Linked DNA regions of Coturnix japonica. The protein of the gene in region 3 binds, or shares a complex with, the protein of the main gene of each other region. Links are inferred from orthologs where the notes say so. Each region holds a gene or a part of one and is shown on either strand. Other genes may lie near its edges.

What was found.
Region 1: the proteins of STK3 (region 3) and RASSF5 are in contact, whole or in part, in a crystal structure (PDB 4LGD), measured with the Homo sapiens proteins. The link is inferred for Coturnix japonica from reciprocal best matches to the Homo sapiens genes STK3 and RASSF5. Residues at the interface, in NP_006272.2 of Homo sapiens: Phe437, Phe439, Leu440, Leu445, Leu448, Gln449, Arg451, Leu452, Leu455, Asp456, Met458, Met459, Glu462, Ile463, Leu466, Arg467, Tyr470, Lys473, Arg474, Pro476, Ile477, Leu478, Ala480, Met481, Lys484, Gln488; in NP_872604.1 of Homo sapiens: Trp369, Asp370, Ala371, Phe372, Ile374, Leu377, Gln378, Phe380, Leu381, Leu384, Glu385, Glu387, Glu388, Lys391, Ile392, Val395, Gln396, Lys398, Tyr399, Phe402, Arg403, Lys405, Leu406, Ala409, Leu410, Ser413.
Region 2: the proteins of STK3 (region 3) and SAV1 are in contact, whole or in part, in a crystal structure (PDB 6AO5), measured with the Homo sapiens proteins. The link is inferred for Coturnix japonica from reciprocal best matches to the Homo sapiens genes STK3 and SAV1. Residues at the interface, in NP_006272.2 of Homo sapiens: Trp429, Lys430, Val431, Pro432, Gln433, Gly435, Phe437, Phe439, Leu440, Lys441, Asn442, Leu443, Ser444, Leu445, Leu448, Gln449, Arg451, Leu452, Leu455, Asp456, Met458, Met459, Glu462, Ile463, Leu466, Arg467, Arg469, Tyr470, Ala472, Lys473; in NP_068590.1 of Homo sapiens: Tyr311, Ala312, Arg313, Ala314, Pro315, Asp319, Trp324, Glu325, Phe327, Gln328, Leu329, Leu332, Asp333, Gln336, Leu339, Lys340, Leu342, Phe343, Glu346, Leu347, Ile350, Val351, Met353, Tyr354, Ala356, Tyr357, Arg358, Ala360, Leu361, Leu362.

What each region holds. Positions count from the first base shown.
Region 1 is NC_029541.1:2,734,291-2,738,565, forward strand, and holds the start of RASSF5 (ras association domain-containing protein 5), read left to right. Parts: upstream 1-1,431; 5' UTR 1,432-1,466; coding exon 1,467-1,860; intron 1,861-4,275. UniProt on the Homo sapiens protein: Potential tumor suppressor. Seems to be involved in lymphocyte adhesion by linking RAP1A activation upon T-cell receptor or chemokine stimulation to integrin activation.
Region 2 is NC_029520.1:52,517,694-52,521,319, forward strand, and holds part of SAV1 (protein salvador homolog 1), read right to left. Parts: intron 2,589-3,626; coding exon 2,445-2,588; intron 469-2,444; coding exon of another isoform or gene 267-468; exon of another isoform or gene 1-266. UniProt on the Homo sapiens protein: Regulator of STK3/MST2 and STK4/MST1 in the Hippo signaling pathway which plays a pivotal role in organ size control and tumor suppression by restricting proliferation and promoting apoptosis.
Region 3 is NC_029517.1:115,664,399-115,668,024, reverse strand, and holds part of STK3 (serine/threonine-protein kinase 3), read left to right. Parts: coding exon 1-112; intron 113-3,009; coding exon 3,010-3,135; intron 3,136-3,626. UniProt on the Homo sapiens protein: Stress-activated, pro-apoptotic kinase which, following caspase-cleavage, enters the nucleus and induces chromatin condensation followed by internucleosomal DNA fragmentation.

The DNA.
Region 1 (4,275 bases), on a different chromosome or scaffold from region 3:
GTGTTTGACCTGGAACGTGGTTGGCTTCAAAAGGAAGGATTTATTTCTTGGCGTGCACCAAAAGGAAGAGCTGCTAATAGCCCTTCAGCTGCCATAATGCAGCAGCTGCAAAGAGGACTCCCAGAATCTAAATGAAATAGGGATTTTCTTGCCTGTGTTCATCAGGATTTAGTTTTTCCCCCCCCCGAATTCTCAACCCTGCTCCTGTTTTCCTGCATTAGCTGAAAACCTGCTGAGGAAGCAGAGAATGGCAGTGAATCTGCTCTATCTCCCAGTCTGGAAGGAGAACAGATAAAACATCCCTCTATGGGGAAAACCATTTACCCAAGGACAAATCTGCTGCTGGTCTCATGCAGAAGTAGAGGATGCATGAAAGTGAATCAGGATCCTGAATGGGGAAAAAAAAGACCTTCCAATATGAGTCATGTTACTTAACAAACAAAAATGGGATTTTTCAAGCTGTATTATTGCTCCTTTCATTTTAGGCTCTTATTAGGGGTTGCCTATTGCAATCGTCTTTTGTAACTCAGAGCCAGATCCATCCTTCAATTTAAATTATTTCAAAGGGATTTAAGCATCTTTGGCTCATCCCATCCTCAGAAACTCGCTTTGTCTCTTTGTCATCAGGCCTTCAGAGCAGCACCTGATCCAAACACCCTCATCTCTGCACCCCAAAAGCATTGCAAATGGGCGTCCTCAGAGCTGCAGTGCTGGAACCTGTACAGAAGAGAGAGACTCCAGAATCTGCCCATCATATTTTCCCTTTCACTTCTCCCACAACCACAAAAGCCTCATCTGGGAGAGTTTAATTGCTTGGGCTCTCAGCCCTCAGCATCACTCCGGTGCCCTGCTGTCATTTCAGAGGGGAAAAGGTAATTTGTTCCAGCTGTCTGTGCAGCCTGGTCCATGCTCTGTGCAGGAGGGTCTGTGTCTTCAGCTCAGTGTATAAAGCAGCACCTGAGAGGTGATCGCCCTGATTCTGTAGGGGCAAAACCTGGGATGGGGATGGGGATGGGATGGGATAGAAGGGGATGGGATGGGATGGGATGGGATAGAAGGGGATGGGATGGGGATGGGGATGGGATGGGGATGGGGATGGGATGGGATGGGGTGCTTCTGCGCTCCTGCAGTGTCCACTGGGAACAGCTTTATGCTGCACGCTGCTCACCCCATTTGCACAGCCGGGATTAGGGTGATGTATGCGTGCAACGTCCCCGGTCCCGAGAGGAGGAGCGTCCCGTGGGGAGCGGTTACACAACAGTGTGGGTTGGGATTCCATGGGGAAATCCTAAAGGGGGGTGGAGAAGGGGGGAAGAAAGAGAGGGGGGGGGGGGGGGGTTTACGACTGCGATGGATCCTATGGGAGGAACCGCTGCTCCGGGAGGGTCACCACGAGAAGATCCCACGCGGGGCCGCTCCCCGCACCACCCCCCCCTATATCAGTGTCTCCTCCCCGGGGCGGCCCAATGCACCCGCCCTGCCCCGCTCCTCCCGGCCACACCGCCAGCCCGGAGCCCGCAGAGCGGCGTGCCGTGCCGTGCGGTGCCGTGCCGTGCCCACCCGTGGGGCCGAGCCCCTCGCCTGGCTCCATGCGGCGGGGTCCACCCGGCCCCGCTCCCCCCTGCCCGGGGAGCCCCGGCGGTGTCAGGGCAGCTCGACGGCTGCGGAGGCGCGGAGGGTCCCCTCGGCTTTTGCCCGACGTGCGCAACATCTTCTCGGCTCCTCGAGAAGCGGCGGAACGAGCCCACGGTCACGGTCACGGTCACGGTCACGGTCACCGCTTCGTCCCCCGCGTCCCTCGCTGCGGTTGGTGCGATCTGTGCGGAGCTGCCGTGCGGGATCGTGCCCTGCGCTGCGAATGTGAGTGCTGCTGCCGTCCCGCAGTTCCATCCCGCACCGCATCCATCACCCTGCCCTACTCCCCACCAACTCCATGCCCCCCTCACCCCCAGCCCCGTGTCCCCCCGCAGAGCTGTCCCCCGTGGGGTGCGGATCCGTGCGGGGGATGCGGGACTTGGGGTTTTTTTTTCCTCCGGGGAAGATGGGATTATCGGCTCATCGGGGCGGAATGGCTCGTGGTTGTGCCGCCTTACGGTGGAGCTAAATCCTTCCAGGAATAGCACGTTGGGAATATCTCCTTTAGGTTCTTTGGGCAGTGAGCAGTGGGAGCTCTCTAGGAAGACTCGCTGTGCTCCCATCGGGTGCATTAAGATTTAGTTCTGCAGGAAGGGTTGGCGTTCCCATCGTGTTTAAGGGGTTGGGAAGAGGGGGTGGGAGTGAATGGGGTGTCCTGGGTCAGACGCAGCCCATGTGCATCACTGTGTGAGGGGTGGCATAAGGACCAAGCAGTGAGTTACAGGCAGCAGAAGTCGAACCTGTTGCCTTGTTATTCCATATCTTCTGAATGGGGAAAGGGCTTTACATCCTATAGACTATGAGCAGTGCCTGGGGGCGGCGCTCCTCCTGCCCCAGCCCTGTGCCCAGCTGATGTTTTCAGGTAACTGAGGGAGCATCCCGATCTGACACGTTAATTGGCAGCACTTTGTGATGCTGTGAGTGCTATAAAAGGGGTGTTTTGAGGGATTTCTTTCCCAGGGCTCTTTTACGAGTGATATTGAAAGAAGCCTGCAGTGCTTGCTTCCCTTTTCGTTTCTTCTGAGAGCTGTCAGGCTGTGGGAATAGATCAGCCTCTAAAATTCCCCAAACAACGACGTGTTATCGCTGGGGGGAGGGAGAGAAACTTCAGTGGGACTCTTAGAACATCAGCACCCATCGCCCTCCCCCTCCTCCTGCAGCACATCCGTTTCTGTTGGGGTTTTTTTCTTGCTGTTTGTTCAGGTGGGGCGGAACGTAGATGTTGGAATGTGAAGGTGACAACGCAGCTTCCAAGTCTGTGCTGAGATTTATTTGGGTTCTAAGCAGGGATATCCGGGGTCGGGGGTGGTTCTGGAAGCAGAAACTCCTGCTCCTTCCCCTTATCCCCTGCATTATGGGCTGGGCTTTTCCCTCAGGCATTTTCCAGCCTTAGGTCCTCTCTCATCCTGGCAGCTCAGGGCATGACTTACAGCCCTTGTATTTCCTGGGCTGTGCTTATCAAACTGCCCTATGGGGTGAGCTGGGTGTGCCCTGCATGGGTTTGTCCCATAGACCCGATCCCTCCCCAGGACATCATGTCACCCCACCAGCACTCAATGAGGTTTCCTTGCAGGACAATGGCACAGCTCAGTCTGTGTTCCAGCACTGTTGGATCAGGACCCATTTCATTGAGAAGAAAGCTGGCACAACACACAGCACTTTGCTTTCTAGCTTGTAAACTGCAGCTCTGCCATTACAGGTTCTGGAGTGGCTGTTTAATTATCAGTGCTCAGTAGCAGGTGTGGATGCTCCCAGCTGGGCTCTGGGATGGGGTCTCTGCCCACACCTGCAGCACTTTAAGTGTGAGGTTTTCCCATGTCTCCTCCCTGCGTGTCCCTCCCATTTCTGCTCTCATCACTGTAAACAATAATTGCCACCAGGAGCCACAGTTTTGGGGCTTCCTTAGTCTGGTTTGGGCAGATTCTTGTTCTCCCAGCAGCAGAGGATGAGGGTGGTGGGGAAGGTGCAGGGCAGGGCACAGGGATCAGGTCTATGGGGCAGGGCACAGCAGGTATTGCTCACTGGGGGACTCAGCATTGGCAGGCTGCTATTCTGGGGGGGGCTCAGGTCCTTGGGTCACCCTTTGCTGCTGCCTTCCCATCCTGTGCTTATGGAGGAAGACACCAATGGAGGCTTTGGTTCACCAGGTGAGGTTTGGGTTGTTTCTTCCTTTCCTGGTCCTGTAGCTGGGCTTGGTGGTCTGGGTTGGGAAGAAGGGATGTGTGTGAGCTGCAGGGTTGGGGGATGCTGAGGGGTGAGGAAGGAATTACTTTGTATTATCCTGTGCTGCTTGGTGTGATGTTTGGATTTAGTGAGCTTTTATCTCTGCAAATTAATGGATGAAATGGGTAGAGTGTGTTGTGTGGGATGCTGGAAACCTGCCCCATGGGTGAGGGGATGGCTGTGATACAGAATGGGGAGGTTTTAAAGCCCTTTGTTGGGTGATGGGATGGATACGAGCATCATCCAGCACCTCACGTGGCTAGAAAGGATGGATGCTACAGGAAAACTGCAGCACTGATCCAAAAACCTGGCAGGGCTCATGTCAGTATTGCTCACATTGCTGATCTCAGTGTATTTCTTTAATGTTTCATTCAATATTGGAGGCTTTAGACAACCACAAGGGAACAGCAGTGAAGT
Region 2 (3,626 bases), on a different chromosome or scaffold from region 3:
TGCTAGGAAAGGAGAGCAGGATCAGCTCTCTGCTCCGACTCCACGCTGGTTTTCAGCATAATAAACTAGTTTTTGTATGGAAAAAGATTAACAAACGTTTCTCATTTGTATAAACAATACATAATACATGTAGAAAAATATTCAAGAGGATAATAACAAAAGGTGCAATGTCAACAAAAATAAGCTGCCTTTTCAACCAAAGCACTTCTTTATGAACTGTGGGGGCTTCTGAAAGCTCCTGGCCTCCCCTGTGTCCGTGGGGCAGCTCAGAAGTTCTTGCTGTGCTGCTGGGCGTACCACTGCTGCCGCTGCTTGCGGTGCTCCAGCTCGGTGAGCAGCGCCTGCCTGTAGGCCTCGTACAGCTTCACGATGCGCTCCAGCTCCTTCATGAAGAGCAGCTTCAGCATGCCCTGGTACGTGTCCAGGTCAGCCAGCTGGAACAGCTCCCACTTCAGGATGTGGTCGTACCTGGAGTGGCACAGAGGGTTACACCTGAGGCTGCCGTGCTGCTCTGCGTTCGCAGGCTGTGCTGATTTAGGTCACTGCATCCCAAACTGTGGGGCACGAGCCCCGTGGAACAACGGGAGGGGAGAACCGGGTAGCAGCAGTAAGAAGAAACAGCCCTAATCAGTGGCCATGTCACCTCGGTGCCAGCCCAAAGCCCTCTTTGGAGAACACCCCTCTGGCTGATAGGGAGCTACTCTGGGCAGCCCCCAGCTGCTGCAGGCAGGTAGCCCCAGCCTTGCTCTGTATTAGATGCTGCATCCTTACTGCAGGTTCGTGATCTTCTTCCCAGCACTTCTAAACATTTGTAACTCACCTGCACTGTGATTTTCTTAACTTAGCTATCAGCAGCTGACAGGGCAGCTACTGAAAGAACAGGAGAACAGATGGAATGAGCAGAGCTATGAGATCCTGGTTACATGGAGAAAGACAAAGGTTCTGATCTGTGCTTCAAAAGAATCTGAACTGCAATCTCAGGCTGCCCAATGTGTGTTGTTCTTTGAGAAGCCCTCAAGCTGAGGTGACAGCAAGTCAGCTGCTATCTCTCCTCTTCCCTTTCCCAGTACAAAATCAGCATGAAACAGGATTTGCTTCTTCACATTTGAGAATGCCACAAACAGCAATGTCTGTACCTGCCCTGCTTCAGCTGAAGAAATGTAAAAGGAGGCTGGAAAATGTGTGACTTTGGGGTCCTCTCAATACTGACTTCAGTGTCTCAGCCTTTCAGGAAGTCTCTGAGAATCTTACAGTGCTTATCTTCAAGTTTCAAGAGAAGAACCAGCAAGAACCTACACAACACAGGCTGAAATCCTTCAGACTGCATTGTCTACATGTGCCAAAGACCTAAATAAAGAAATGCAGCTGCAGCCAAAGCCTAGAAGTATTTCTAGGAACTCAGCCCTCTCCCAGGTTACAGGAACTGCAGCACCAGTACACCACTGGATTTTAGGTCCATTTAAATTCATATTGTTTTGCCAGAAGACACGAGAAGTAATTAAACCCATTCCAATTACACTAATTAGAAGCAGCTAAAAACTTCAGCTGAAAGCCACTGACCGCTACATGGTTTGAGAATTCCCAACTGTGCACTGAGCTGTTTGCTGTGACTCAGCCTCCCCACGTTCTCCTCATGAAGAAGAACGTGGTTTTATAGTTGTTGAAGTGCCACATGGATGCTTTTAGAAACTGATTTTCTACTTCGTGTCAGTCTTGTGCAGAGCTGCAGCCATCAGAACGTGTTTCATTGCATTGATTCAGATCTACCCCTGGAAAAGACCCCCTGTTGCTAAACATACCCCATGTATTTTATATGCCATGGGGCACCATACTCACAAGCACACTGAGAGTACAGCACGCACTCCCAGTTCTGCAGTGCCATGTTAAGTATTGCCTAATGCAAAGCAAACCTATGAGAAGTGGTCTCCATTCTCCTGCTAAGACACAAATGAAGCCCAACTTCATTCCAACTTGCCCATTTCCACCCAGAAGAGTCAAGAGTCCATTCCCCTTATCGAGCCAACTTTTGCTATGTTTGTGGGAGATGTGAGTGTCGCACACATGGTTTAAATCATAATGTACAGCACAGATTACATGCACGGTGATCTTAATATATTATGTGTACAAACCATAGATAGATGTTTTAAAAGCATATTCTGACAGCAGTTTGTTGAACGGGCAATTGAGCAACAAAAATTACAGGTCTAAAGCACTTAGGCTGGATCCTCAGCCAGCGATGGTCCACTCAATTTAGGGTGGCTTGTATTTCTGATATGAAAAATCCCAGTACAGATCCCTCACCCACTGTCAGCAGCAGCTCTCATACAATTACAGAACAGCCAGCAGCTGTAGTTCTACTTCCAGTCCTCGGAACCCACTTGGTTTCTGTCTAAACGATGCACGTGTAATTTAGTGCAAAATAAGAGTAAAGAAAACAAGCTTACTTGACAGGAGCCCTGGCGTAGACCTGCAGCCAGTCTGGAATCTCCGCAGTGTGGTAAGGGTTCGCAGGGACCAGGAGGGGCTGGCTTCTCTCTGCCTGCTGGGGCTGGTAGGTCACTGGGGGAGGCTGGTCGTAGCGGGGAACGCTGTATGGAGGAAGGCAGAGAAATTCAGCAGGCACCAAGCAGGATGTCCTGCTCTCATTAATAAAGATATGAACTTCCTGCAATACAGCAAGAAGGATCGAATAGAAATTAACCGGTAGATTTGGTGCATGCTAACTTGATTTTACCTCTGTGTTTTAAGCAGCTAAAATATCTGTTTTTATTCCAGAGATGACTTAGTTTGGGTTTCAGAGATGGTTTCCCAGAACATCAATCAAGTTTTTACCTTCAGGCTAAAACCCAATTCTGCTCTCAGCAACCCGACTGTTTCACCAGCAGTCACAGACAACAGCTGCTTTATTTTAGTGAGAATAATATCCTGTTTCTAAACTGAACGAACAGATGAGACAGAAACCAACAATTACAACTTCTACAAGTCTCAGCCAAGAAGCAGTAAAGCTTACTTATAAAAAATAAGTTGGTTTTGGCATGTGGTATGCAAGGCAAAAGCAGTTCACAGAATCACATCATAGAATCACAGAATGGCCCAGGTTGGAAGGGGCCTCAAGGACCACGAAGCTCCAACCTCCACATTGATACCAGCCCAGGCTGCCCAGGGCCCCATCCAACCTGGCCTTGAACACCTCCAGGGATGGACGGGGCATTCACAGCCTCTCTGGGCAGCTGTTCCAGCACCTCACCACTCTCACAGTGAAGAACTTCCCCCTGACATCCAACCTCAATCTTCCCTCCTTCAACTCCAAACCATCTCCCCTTGTCCTGCTGTTATCTGCCCTTGTAAAGAGTTGTCTCCCCTCCTGTCTGTAGGCTCCCTTTAGGTCCTGGCAGGCTGCATTGAGGTCACCCCGCAGCCTTCTCTTCTCCATGCTGAACAAGCCCAGCTCCCTCAGCCTGTCTTTGTAGGGAGGTGCTGCAGCCTCTGAGCATCTTTGTGGCCTCCTCTGGACCCTCTCCAGCAGCTCCCTGCCTTTTCTGTATCGGGGGCTCCAGACCTGGACACAGCACTGCAGATGGGGCCTCAAGAGGGCAGAACAGAGAGGGACAATCACCTCCTGTCCC
Region 3 (3,626 bases):
CCCTCCAACCTTTCGGAAGCCGGAGCTCTGGTCTGATGAATTCACAGATTTCGTGAAGAAGTGCTTAGTGAAGAATCCTGAACAAAGAGCTACAGCAACACAGCTGCTACAGGTCAGTCTTCAAGTTTCAAAGGAAATGCAAGTTTTATGGCTTTATCTCCCAGTCTCAAACCAGAATGGCTGTGAAAATGTAAGAGCATGTCTCTTGCCTTATTTCTTCTCCATTTTGTGATCTTTTCTGTATCACCTTTTATATCTCTAGCACTGTTTTATTCCTCCTTTGTTACTTCTAAACAGTAATTTCCTCCTGAAGTTTAGAGCTGGTTCTTTGTATTAAAAAATGGGTTCTTGTTCGGTGATTAGAGACCTTAGCAGATCATAGGGTTTAGGCCAGTGTTATGTTAAGGAACCCTTCAGTAGGGACCACCCATGGAGTGTACTCAGTCTGCCCTTTTGGTCATGCCAAATTAAACAAGACAGGTTATTCTGTATCCTAGAAGGATCTGATATGGATGGACAGGATAAAGAGGCTATTCTTGGGCTGTTACCCCAACTGAGCACTTTTCAATTCCAACCACAGTTGGCAGCGTGAACCAACAGGCTTTAGGTCTCTCACTGAACTAACCTGTGTGTTGCTTGGAAATTTAACAGTTGGTACTAAGTACCATTTAGCATTTTGGTACTGAGATGCAAATAAAGCAGAGAAATTTCAAAGAACTACAAAAATCAAACAGGAGGGACTGATCTGTCAAGAAAGGTGTAGTATTGTGAAACCAACAAAATTTTACAAGAACTACATGTTTTGGTGCACAGTAAAAGGGAAAACATGAAAAAAGTATGCTCTTCTAGTTTGGTTTACTTCTTTAGTTTTGTTGTCCACTTAACTAAAGTACTGTCATGGTCAACCTTTAAATAACCAAGGGAAATCATGTCTATCTTCATGTTGTAGATGGAAGGCAGCTGAAAGGAAAAAAAACCCTAGAATATCTGTAGTTGGTTCCTTGATGAATCTAAAATTTCCCATAAGTGAATCTAAATGATTTAGATTCATCTGAAATGAAATAAGCTTTCTTTTCTAACAAGAAGCAAAACATTAAGTAAGCTTTTGGATAATTTCGTCTATGCTTTTCAATGCTACTGGTAAAAATTGTTCTTAATTTTCATTTCATCAATCTACATAAGAACTTCTGAAATTTCTGTTGTAAGACAACTGTGATACCTGTATTCTGTCTTGAGGTAGGAGCATGCTCGTTTTAAATTTACATTAGAATTTAGCCCACTACAAGTACATCTTTGAAAGTAATTTTCAGTAATAAAACATAAAATTCATATTTATGGTATGAAGTATTTTATCTCTCATTGAAAGTAAAATGGATGGGAAGTAAAAGTTGGAATTCAAGATCAGAAATTTGTATGCTAACTATTGACTGGAACTGATTAAAAGAGACTTGTATTAATGCATACCAGTAACAAAAAGCCTTCAGAGTTACATGTCCCCTATACTTACTGGCCAGAAGACTGACTACTTGCATCCATTAGTTGTACATGTTGCCTTTTTCCCAGTTGGAGCATGCGCAGCGGAGCAGGAGGTGCCATGGGTATGTTGGAGGGGTACAGGTGGGAATGAAAATACCACTTGTGAAGAACAGTTATAGAGGGGAAAGAAGGGTAATTGAATTCATGTATCAAGGGAGGGGATGGGTAACAGGCAAAGGAGGACACTAGGATTTATCAAGTTTGTTCTTCATAGAACGATTTTTTAATCAGTAATAATACATGTCTGAAGTGCTGAGAGCTACATTTTTACTCAGTTGTACTTTCATATGATAATATGAGACAAGAATTTTTATAACAGTAGGGGGTTATTAGAGCATAACAGGAATGTAAATGGTATCATCCACGGGTTGTCTTCAAGGAGGAAATGATGCTGTAAATGGCTTTGAATTAAAATTCTCTTCCTCCTAAAAATAATGTTTTCTTTTCTTTTCTTTTCTTTTTTTTTACTTGTTCCACATTTCACCCTCCTAGATGAAGAAATGTTTTATGACATATTCAAGTACAGGTCTGTTGGAGTAAGCAACAGCCATACTTGCTCTGCTTACAGCCGCTAATTTATGCTGTCAGCTTGTTAAGATTAATTAAATACTGTAACTGAATATCTGAAAAAGTTTGTTTTTCTATGTCAGACAATCACCACTCTATTTATTTACTACTTAATGCACATTTCCTTGGGACAATTATGTCCCTAACTATAAAGCAGTTGTTTTGTAGTTGTATTTCTTAAGTCTTGCTGGTTTTTGTTTTGTTTTGCTTGTTTATTTTTTAATAAAAATCAAAGTCTTGTAGAATAAGCTGGAAAGGACCTCTGAAGAATCGTCAAGTCCAACTCCCGGCTCTACGCAGGACCACCCAAAATCCCAACTCCGTGTCCGAGGGCGCTGTCCAAACCATCTGTGAACTCTGGCACTCGGGGCCGTGCCCACTGCCCTGTGCAGCCCGTTCCATGCCCACCACCCTCTGGTGCAGACCCTGTCCCTCACCCCCAGCCGCCCTTCCCCTGACTTCACTCCATGCCGTTCCCTCGGGCCCTGTCGCTGTCACACAGAGCAGAGCTCAGCGCTGCCCCTCCGCTCCCTGTCACGAGCTGCAGCCGCCATCAGGCCTCCATCAGCTCCTCTGCTCTGGGCTGCACAAATAAGGCGACCTTAGCACTCCTCATACGTCTTGCCCTCTAAGCCCTTCCCCATTTTCATAGCCCTCGTTTGGATACTCTCTAATATTTTTATGTCCTTATACTGTATGGCCATACCAGTATGGAGTGGGTAAATAGAAGTGAAATCTTGGTTGTGAAGTAGTTGAAAATTGCCACGTTTTAGATTTAAATTACAGTGTGATGTGAAGTACCATTTATCGTTGAAGTCATTGGTGTTGAATAACACTTGCAATTATATCTGAGCTGTATCTATTGTAATGATGTCATTGAATTTCTTTTTTTCTGTTTTTCCCTAGCATACATTTATTAAGAATGCCAAGCCAGTTTCAATTCTAAGGGACCTTATCACTGAAGCTATGGAAATAAAGGCAAAACGACATGAGGAGCAGCAGAGGGAACTAGAAGAAGAAGAGGAAAATTCGGTCTGTATTTCTTTTTCCTTAGAACTTTTCATATTTTATAGATAAGTTACTATTGCTTTTTGGCAGCTTCCTGTCTTCACATCTTCAAGTACTTTTCTGTTTCTACCACTTCTGTAGCCTGTGAGGTCCAGGGTCTTTGTCCCTTATTCGTAATGAGTAATGGTTCTGTGAGTAATGCTGTATGAGCCAGCTTTCAGTACTGTTTCATGCATCGTCATAGTAAGTTTTAAGAGGTGGGTAGAGAAACCATGTCAAGTTCAGCTTTTCTGACTAGCATTAAAAAAAAAAAAATACTGTTGGGGTCCTATTTTTACTTCTAGAAATGTATTAAATTTTCATAAGTTCAGGTTACTTAGCTTTTTTTGTAGAGTCTATTACACAAAGTAGTTACTTGTGCAGCAAAATTACTAGTGTTTGCAGTATTATTTGAATGAAGTTGTGCATGTGATGTAGAAATGATGACAGCTTTTAATTCTTCCAATTATGATGAT